Saccharomyces cerevisiae S288C: one gene and its partner. The gene in region 1 interacts genetically with each later gene. Each region holds a gene or a part of one and is shown in the gene's direction. Other genes may lie near its edges.

What was found. Genes that interact genetically often act in the same process or in processes that back each other up.
Region 2: of YET3 (region 1) and INO1, extra expression of one rescues a mutant of the other (dosage rescue), as found in Saccharomyces cerevisiae (one study listed by BioGRID).

Annotation. Positions count from the first base shown.
Region 1 is NC_001136.10:326,565-332,174, reverse strand, and holds YET3 (Yet3p), read left to right. Parts: upstream 1-1,727; coding exon 1,728-2,339; downstream 2,340-5,610. Other genes in the region: BDF2 (Bdf2p), read right to left, coding at 1-1,151; AHK1 (Ahk1p), read right to left, coding at 2,608-5,562. UniProt on the Saccharomyces cerevisiae protein: May play a role in anterograde transport of membrane proteins from the endoplasmic reticulum to the Golgi. May be involved in invertase secretion.
Region 2 is NC_001142.9:133,832-138,022, reverse strand, and holds INO1 (inositol-3-phosphate synthase INO1), read left to right. Parts: upstream 1-2,089; coding exon 2,090-3,691; downstream 3,692-4,191. Other genes in the region: SCF ubiquitin ligase complex subunit DAS1, read right to left, coding at 1-644; SNA3 (Sna3p), read left to right, coding at 1,250-1,651; retromer subunit VPS35, read left to right, coding at 4,088-4,191. UniProt on the Saccharomyces cerevisiae protein: Key enzyme in myo-inositol biosynthesis pathway that catalyzes the conversion of glucose 6-phosphate to 1-myo-inositol 1-phosphate in a NAD-dependent manner. Rate-limiting enzyme in the synthesis of all inositol-containing compounds.

The DNA of each region.
Region 1 (5,610 bases):
ATTGTTTTGTACTTCCAGTTCATTAAATTATTTGATATTGTACCCAAATCCATAGGATTCTTCACGACATCAAAGTAATTTGGTAGATTCAAAGCAATCGGATCAACAGGTTGTAAAAAGGGAAAATTTATATCCGAATTTTTTTTACTCATCAAAACCTTTAGTATTTTCAGACAAGTCCTGAATTTTTTTTGTAAAGTCTTTGATTTTGGTTTGGAGTTTTCATATATATCAAACAAATCTTTTGATTTGGGTGGATGAATTGTTCTTTTGGGTCTACCACCACTGACGCCTTCTCTATTTCCGCTTTCCCCAATATTGTCATTGGTGGTACTAACTGAACGTCTAATGACAAGTGGGGAATCCATATCCTCATTTTTTTTCCGGTTTCTGCTTGTTTTCTTCAAGGCAGAAGCGGGTAAAACTCTTGGTGGCATTGCAGATAACTTTTTTTCAAAATACTTTTGAATCCTTTTAGCCATCGAAGAGATTGAAGATTCTGGACCATTAAAGTTTAAACAATTATCCACCATTGTTTTGAAGTCCGATGTGACTTGCTCTACTGAATGATACACGTTGCCCTGCAATTTTGTTTCAATTAAAGACAAATCCATTGGGGTTTGAACGTAGTTGAAATAATGCGGGATGTTCAAAGCAATAGGATCAACCGGCTTCAGAAACGGTCTAGCATCTTTTAATCGTTTGGTCGCCTTAATGGAGCTTAAAAGGTATTTACTTTGGTGTGGTGGTAGTTCCTCCGCTTCCATTTCAGCTTCCAACGCCGGCTCTGTTTCCCGTTCTAGGCCCAAAGGGTGCTCGGGAAAACTTTCCGGAGTGGATGCATTACTAATGGAAATGGGAGACAAAGTTTGGTGGGCGTGGGATGAAGAATTCAGGTTAGTGATACCGCTGCTCGCAAGTTTGTAATTTTCCTCGTGTCCATAGTGGAAGATATCCCTGAAGTGGGGTCCATCGTCGATACTTACCGCGCTGACATTACCGCTATCGTCACCGACGCCGACATTGATATTGTTTTTGTTACTACTACTCTCGCTGCTGCTGTTGCTGCTCCTGCTATTTGCAGTAGCACTCTGTGGTGCTGCCAGTAAAGCAGAATGTGCGTGTCTTGTATCCATGTTAGTACGAGACATAGCCGCCGAGGTTTATTTCGCTCAATCTGTTTGTTTCAGTTTTTCCGCGTTCTCTCTTTTTCGCTCTTTTCTGGCTACCGCGCCCGCCTTATATATAAAATCTCTTCCGAATAACAAAGTGGCCGAAACAAGCGCCAACGTCGACCATTTTGCCACCGTGTCACTGTGCACGAGCAACGAAAAACTGGCGTTGGTTGCGCCTCACGAATTGCTTGAGCCTCTTCCCAATATCATCGCGCATTTATTTGAGTCATTCTCTGCCGCTTTATTATTAAAAGTCTGTGTGCTATCAAAATGCTCTTGCTCCTGTTCACCCTCTATGCGTAAACACTTGCGCGTTTCTCCCTTTCTCTTTTAGCGTTGTTGACGTTGCACTCTTTTTTCGCCTCTTTCTTTTTTTAGCTAGAGGGTCACCCTGCCTGCTTCACTCCATTAAGGGGAAGAAGAGTGGAAAAGTGCCGTATATAACAATGGTATATAGCAAATCCCGATTTAGTAGGAAGATAGAATAGTGAGCTCTTCCAAGGTAACCACGTCACATTATACTCATAACCATAGAATTCACAGAATTGAATCATGTCATTATATTACACCTTGGTTTTTGCCATTCTAGTGGTGGAGATTTTCATGTTCTCCATTCTAGCCCTACCAATCCCTTCTAGATACCGTAGGCCTCTCACCTTACTGTTATTAAAGCCGTTCAAATCCTCCACAGTGCAAGTTGCGATCAAGTGTGTACTTGGGTTCATTCTTTTGCTTTTCATCGATTGTATCAACAGAGTGTACAGCATCGACAAAGAGCTGCAGTTAAGTAGCGCCTCTCAAAATAATGGCGCTATAATCGCTCAAGATAGAATTGAGGTTCTTTCTAGGAAATTCTTTGCCCAAAGGAATATGTATTTGACAGGTATAACTTTGTTTTTGACCTTTGTCGTCGTTAGGACTTTTGGGCTAGTCATAGAACTTTTAACCATGAAAGACATATACAGAGCATCGCCTCCAGTAGCCTCCAGCGATGTCAAGAAGAACGACTCTGTTACTGCCGAAGCTGCTGCTCAATCCGGCGCTTCCAAGGATGACCACGGCGATGAGAAAAATTTTGAACTATTGAAGAAAATTCAGGACATCGATGACGAAATTGCACGTTTAAAGGAGAAGTCGGAATCGTTGCAAGAAGAAATAAATTAGTTTGACGTTTTATTCCTTTTCTTCTGCACAGAAGTGTGTATATATATATTTATATATAGTCGATGTGCAAAAGCCTACATTATTTTTCTTTTGATTTTTATTTTTTTGTTCAAGTAGGTTCATGCCGACAGTAAATCCTTATGCCCTACCTAAATATAAACACCCAAATATATATATATATATATATATATATAAATAATAAAAACGGAAAGGAAATAGAATAATAATAATAATACTACACGTTTACGTATGTAACTCATTCTATTATTCAGACTTTGATATTAATAGAATTATTACTACTAGGTTTCCTCACTTCAAAATCTATAAATATACCGTCATGCTCTAATCGATTGGAAAACTCAAAATATTCTCTTACTGTAGCATTGAACGTCTCAATTAAAACACAGATTTTTTGTATCCTTGTTCTCAACTTCATATCTTGGATCTGCTTCCAAATTGTCACCTCCCGCCCCCCAGTAACTTTCAAATCTTCCACATTCTGATTACCAATTTTGGCTACATCTTGCTCATCTTCCATACATTTGCCAAAAATATTAAAATCAGGCACCGGTATCTCAAAATCTAGACCATTACCGCATAAGGTAGCTAAGTTTCTCGTCTCACTTTCGTTCTTAGCAACACTCGCAACCAAATCTTTCGGGACGGGTAAAGGCTTCATGTACTTACTGCCTCCGTGGATTGTCCCCCATTTCATGTTCGCCAAATCTATTTTTTCGACGACTCTTCTATTGGTTTGAATAAATACCAGTTTGAATATTGTAGCAATACTATTGTGTTCCTTGATTTCATTAGAAAATCTCAACTCTGGTGGACCTATCAATATATTCTCCCTCCTATTGAGCTTGATACTTGAATTATATGATACCATTGATCCTGAATTGTTACCATGCTTAAAAATTTTTTCAATATTACTAGATGACTGCTTCGGCAAAATTTCTGCAAAATCAGCCACATCTTCATCATATTCAAAATCGTTGCCTAATTCATTTGCCTGTTCCTTCTTCTTCTGTGAATCTTCAGAAGTACTTGAAAATTTTGAAAGCCAAGTGTTCAGTGTTGCCGATAAAGAACTATTACCTTCCTTTCTCTTATTTTTATGCGAGCCACTATCTTCTGAGTCTTCATCATTATCTTCGTTTTCCTGACCTCCTTCGTAGCCATCCATAATTTTGTGATTTTTTTTGGGATTTAGTCGGGTCTTCTTTTCTGCAAGAAGAAAGGCAGCTTTACTTGTCATTTCGTCCAAAATATCATAAGCGTATTTACCATTTTTCAAGATAACGTTAGGTCTTGTATTTGCCACTGAGCTGACAGAGGGAAATCTTTCTGTAGTTAAATTTTTATCATGATTAATCTTATAAACTAAGTGGTCCTCTGTATTTGGTTTTTTTGGAATCATCATCAAACGTGAGTTACCATTAAAAACGAGAGCATTCTTTCTATGCGCCACTATATCATTTGAATCGTGTTTTTGCATCTCAAATAACTCCTCCTTGTTTACCAGTAGCTCTTCATATAGTTGTTTAATTCTATCATGTGGCAAGAATCGTAATGAAGAAGAATTTTGAACACTTGGAATGATTTTAAAAACTAATACCTTCATAAATAAAATTCTAATCAAAGGAAATTCGTTTTCAAAAATCAATGACTCCCAAAAATCACTTAACAGCACTTTTACTATTTCATCGCGGTCCTCAATGGTTACGTGCTTCCAAATATTGAAAAGGCATAATAAAGAAACAGTCTGGCAGTTAACATTTTTGGTCCTTAACATACTCAAAAGCCCATTGTACCACGACCTCCATTGAATGAATTTCAGAGAAGGTAAACTTTCAAACTGGAAAATAATAAACTGGAGAACCTTATTGTAAATGACGTTCGCTGCAATATAATCGTACGCTGAAATAGTGGAGACATAGTCTATCAATAGAGACTCATGTAAGGAAAGCATATTTTCCAGGTATTCCGGATGATTTTCTTTAAGAATGCATCCTGAAAGGCTTCTAAGACATTCCCATAATTTGATTGTCTTAAAATTAGAAAATACGTAATCATTAATCCTTTCAGATGTAATTAAAGCATTGCTACTATTCAAACTCTTGAAATTTGGATGTGACTCTGTCACATTCTCATTTGCTATCCTTGGATTCGGCGTTTGTTTAATAATCCGCGTGAATTTATTCAAATCTGAATTCAAGAATCTAGTGGTTACATGCGTCAATAAAATTTCTGAGCCAGGTATGCATGACAATGTCGATTTTTTAATTCCTACATCTGAATCAGAGAATTTCATAAATTGAAGTATGATATACCAATAGTGCCAATAAAATGACATAAGTACAAAATCATTTTTAATATAAGAAACAATGATCTTAAAAAATTTAGTATCTTTATTTTCAAAAGCTTCAGTGCGGATCATTTGTCCCTGATCGTCGGTGAATTTATATTGTCTCTTCTTCCATGAAAACAAAGATGTTTGAATACTTGAAGAGATTTGAGGAGAAACTGTCAATAACAAAATTGTATCGAAATGAAAGTCTTCTGGTAGATAAAAAAATGCGTAAGCATTTAACTTCCCGATGAATGCTCGCAGCAAGGAAGAATATTTGTTAAGGTATTGCAGCTTCTTGTCGTTTATAGAGCACTTGTCATCACTATTTGTACGTTTAAGTTTTTTGGAGTTTTTAGAAATCAAAATCAACTTGTTTGTTATGCAATGAATGGTCAGCAAAAGATGATGTGAGTATATTTCCATGTCTCTGGATGAATGGAAAGGCAATATTATTAGTATGGTCATAATTTTGCTGAGGCACTCGAGACACACGGAAGTTAGTTCTATGCTCAAGCTCAATTCAAGGGCAGTATCTATTTGAAGCGAGGTGTCAGAATTTAGAAAGTTTAAAAGTGTGACCCACCATTGGGTCAAAACATCTCTAACCTCCAGTGTACAGTTGCTTCGTGAAGAATCACACCATTGTCTTAGAACCGTTAGTAGTTTCAAGCGTAAAAAATTTGAGGAGGATTTGCAAAATTTTGTATTTTGTTCTTTATTACTAGCTGACTGATTAGCATTGTTTATGAAATTGATAAACCTGTTCAACGATTGAAATAATTGAGTTTCATAATTGTCCATCAAGAAGCCATCTTGAGACGTAGTCTTTAATCCACATTCATATAGTTGATTATGTATGGCAGGACCCATGCTTAATGAGCAATATGATCTTTAGTGCTACAACAATGCGTATATAGC
Region 2 (4,191 bases), on another chromosome or scaffold:
TCAGGCAATGAATTTGGAGGAGCCATGTCGAAACTTGAGACGTTGCTCCTGGAAAAGTGACCATTGGAGATGATATCGTTACAAGCCGGGTCAGTGACGTTTTCTAGTCTTTGCAAGGACTTGCCCTGATTGCAAAGGATGCTGAGAATGGACCTTTGCAAGGTAGAGTCCAAATCCCAGTTGATCCTTATCCACTGGATGACTTCAGTAATGTGAATATTATTTTGCAGTGTTTCTATAAGTTTTTTCAATTTGCAGTTGGCGATATCGCGGGACTCCTCTTCTTTCAACGAAGACGGCAAGTTCAGTAGGGTCCAATTAATTGCGAGATGCATGAAGTCACTCTTCACTACATTTGAGTCGTTCAAATATATTCTTCTATAAAGCAGTTTGGTAGCGATCTTATTCAACCTTTTGTTCACAAGGCAAAGCTGCAAGCGGTCTGGTTGCGGCAAATGAGAGAATACTTCTTGCATGAGCTCATCGGGGAGCTTTGTTAGCGGGAACACGTAGTTTTTGCTCTTGGCGGCGAAATTTATGTTAATATCGTTAATATCTCGTAGCGCTGAAGCATCTGCGTTACTTTTATTGTTTCTGTTAATGAACGCTGCTTTTTTCTTCTGAAAATAATCTTGAAATGGCATGATATGAATATAAGCTGAGTTGTAAACACTGTGTATAGACGTCCTGGATATTTTGCACGGAAATCAGATCTCCATCGAAATCTACAATTCGCTTATAATCTATATATATTCCTCTTTGTGTGGGACGATAAAGTAGGGTAATACTTGCAATGAGAAAGAATACTCTGGTGAACAGGTGCATTTTGAGAGGGAAATAGGAACTAAGAAAAACAAGTAGAGGAAAAGGGGTGTAGTGCAGTGCAGTAAAGCGTTGCATTGATCGTATCTTGATAGATATACCGGTATATTACTGAACGTTTACATTCACCCTACAACATTTATAAATCTTATATATTATACATGCAAACTCGTATTTGTGAAGTGGGCATATAGTTTTTCGCTATGTATATAGCGGATGAGTGCGTTGGGATTACTATTTCTTTAATGCACGTGATGAAGGCTCGTTTTCTTTTTTTTTTTTTTTTTTTCTTTTTGGGAACGGGGGAAAAGGTCTCACTAGTATATAAAGGAAAGAGAGTACAGCACGAATGAGCCAGCTGCAGGAAAGGGGCTAGGTTAAAAAATAAAAACCCAGCAGAAAGCAAACAACCAAATATAATTTAGAAATGGACAGAGACCATATTAATGACCATGACCATCGAATGAGCTATTCCATCAACAAGGACGACTTGTTGTTAATGGTTTTGGCGGTTTTCATTCCCCCAGTGGCCGTCTGGAAGCGTAAGGGTATGTTCAACAGGGATACACTATTGAACTTACTTCTCTTCCTACTGTTATTCTTCCCAGCAATCATTCACGCTTGCTACGTTGTATATGAAACGAGTAGTGAACGTTCGTACGATCTTTCACGCAGACATGCGACTGCGCCCGCCGTAGACCGTGACCTGGAAGCTCACCCTGCAGAGGAATCTCAAGCACAGCCTCCAGCATATGATGAAGACGATGAGGCCGGTGCCGATGTGCCCTTGATGGACAACAAACAACAGCTCTCTTCCGGCCGTACTTAGTGATCGGAACGAGCTCTTTATCACCGTAGTTCTAAATAACACATAGAGTAAATTATTGCCTTTTTCTTCGTTCCTTTTGTTCTTCACGTCCTTTTTATGAAATACGTGCCGGTGTTCCGGGGTTGGATGCGGAATCGAAAGTGTTGAATGTGAAATATGCGGAGGCCAAGTATGCGCTTCGGCGGCTAAATGCGGCATGTGAAAAGTATTGTCTATTTTATCTTCATCCTTCTTTCCCAGAATATTGAACTTATTTAATTCACATGGAGCAGAGAAAGCGCACCTCTGCGTTGGCGGCAATGTTAATTTGAGACGTATATAAATTGGAGCTTTCGTCACCTTTTTTTGGCTTGTTCTGTTGTCGGGTTCCTAATGTTAGTTTTATCCTTGATTTATTCTGTTTCATTCCCTTTTTTTTCCAGTGAAAAAGAAGTAACAATGACAGAAGATAATATTGCTCCAATCACCTCCGTTAAAGTAGTTACCGACAAGTGCACGTACAAGGACAACGAGCTGCTCACCAAGTACAGCTACGAAAATGCTGTAGTTACGAAGACAGCTAGTGGCCGCTTCGATGTAACGCCCACTGTTCAAGACTACGTGTTCAAACTTGACTTGAAAAAGCCGGAAAAACTAGGAATTATGCTCATTGGGTTAGGTGGCAACAATGGCTCCACTTTAGTGGCCTCGGTATTGGCGAATAAGCACAATGTGGAGTTTCAAACTAAGGAAGGCGTTAAGCAACCAAACTACTTCGGCTCCATGACTCAATGTTCTACCTTGAAACTGGGTATCGATGCGGAGGGGAATGACGTTTATGCTCCTTTTAACTCTCTGTTGCCCATGGTTAGCCCAAACGACTTTGTCGTCTCTGGTTGGGACATCAATAACGCAGATCTATACGAAGCTATGCAGAGAAGTCAAGTTCTCGAATATGATCTGCAACAACGCTTGAAGGCGAAGATGTCCTTGGTGAAGCCTCTTCCTTCCATTTACTACCCTGATTTCATTGCAGCTAATCAAGATGAGAGAGCCAATAACTGCATCAATTTGGATGAAAAAGGCAACGTAACCACGAGGGGTAAGTGGACCCATCTGCAACGCATCAGACGCGATATCCAGAATTTCAAAGAAGAAAACGCCCTTGATAAAGTAATCGTTCTTTGGACTGCAAATACTGAGAGGTACGTAGAAGTATCTCCTGGTGTTAATGACACCATGGAAAACCTCTTGCAGTCTATTAAGAATGACCATGAAGAGATTGCTCCTTCCACGATCTTTGCAGCAGCATCTATCTTGGAAGGTGTCCCCTATATTAATGGTTCACCGCAGAATACTTTTGTTCCCGGCTTGGTTCAGCTGGCTGAGCATGAGGGTACATTCATTGCGGGAGACGATCTCAAGTCGGGACAAACCAAGTTGAAGTCTGTTCTGGCCCAGTTCTTAGTGGATGCAGGTATTAAACCGGTCTCCATTGCATCCTATAACCATTTAGGCAATAATGACGGTTATAACTTATCTGCTCCAAAACAATTTAGGTCTAAGGAGATTTCCAAAAGTTCTGTCATAGATGACATCATCGCGTCTAATGATATCTTGTACAATGATAAACTGGGTAAAAAAGTTGACCACTGCATTGTCATCAAATATATGAAGCCCGTCGGGGACTCAAAAGTGGCAATGGACGAGTATTACAGTGAGTTGATGTTAGGTGGCCATAACCGGATTTCCATTCACAATGTTTGCGAAGATTCTTTACTGGCTACGCCCTTGATCATCGATCTTTTAGTCATGACTGAGTTTTGTACAAGAGTGTCCTATAAGAAGGTGGACCCAGTTAAAGAAGATGCTGGCAAATTCGAGAACTTTTATCCAGTTTTAACCTTCTTGAGTTACTGGTTAAAAGCTCCATTAACAAGACCAGGATTTCACCCGGTGAATGGCTTAAACAAGCAAAGAACCGCCTTAGAAAATTTTTTAAGATTGTTGATTGGATTGCCTTCTCAAAACGAACTAAGATTCGAAGAGAGATTGTTGTAATCTCATTTCAACGACTCTCTTTTTCTTTTTCCGCCTACCTATAAAAAAACAAGACATTCACCATTATCCTATTATCCCTTCCATCAATACATATACTTAACATAACGTTTATAAAAATTCAACTATCAACAGTCTTTATATTTTTTTTTTTTCTTTTGAACTATTGCCTCTTTGTCACTTCGTCTTAAAGGGGCGTTTTTTATTTTTTTTTTTTTTTTTCAGTTGAGGTAGATGCGAGAAAGTGCTGTATTTATTCAAGGGCCACCTCAGTAAAGAGAAGAAAAGAGAGAAAAAAAAAAAGAAGGTGGTGTATGTGCGACCACTCAACAAGGCCCAGTGAAGTTAATATATAACGATAAAAGGAGGAGGACGAGAAAGAAGAAGCTGAAAAACACAATGGCGTATGCGGACTCACCAGAAAATGCGATCGCTGTTATCAAGCAGCGAACCGCACTAATGAACCGGTGTCTATCTCAACACAAACTAATGGAATCATTACA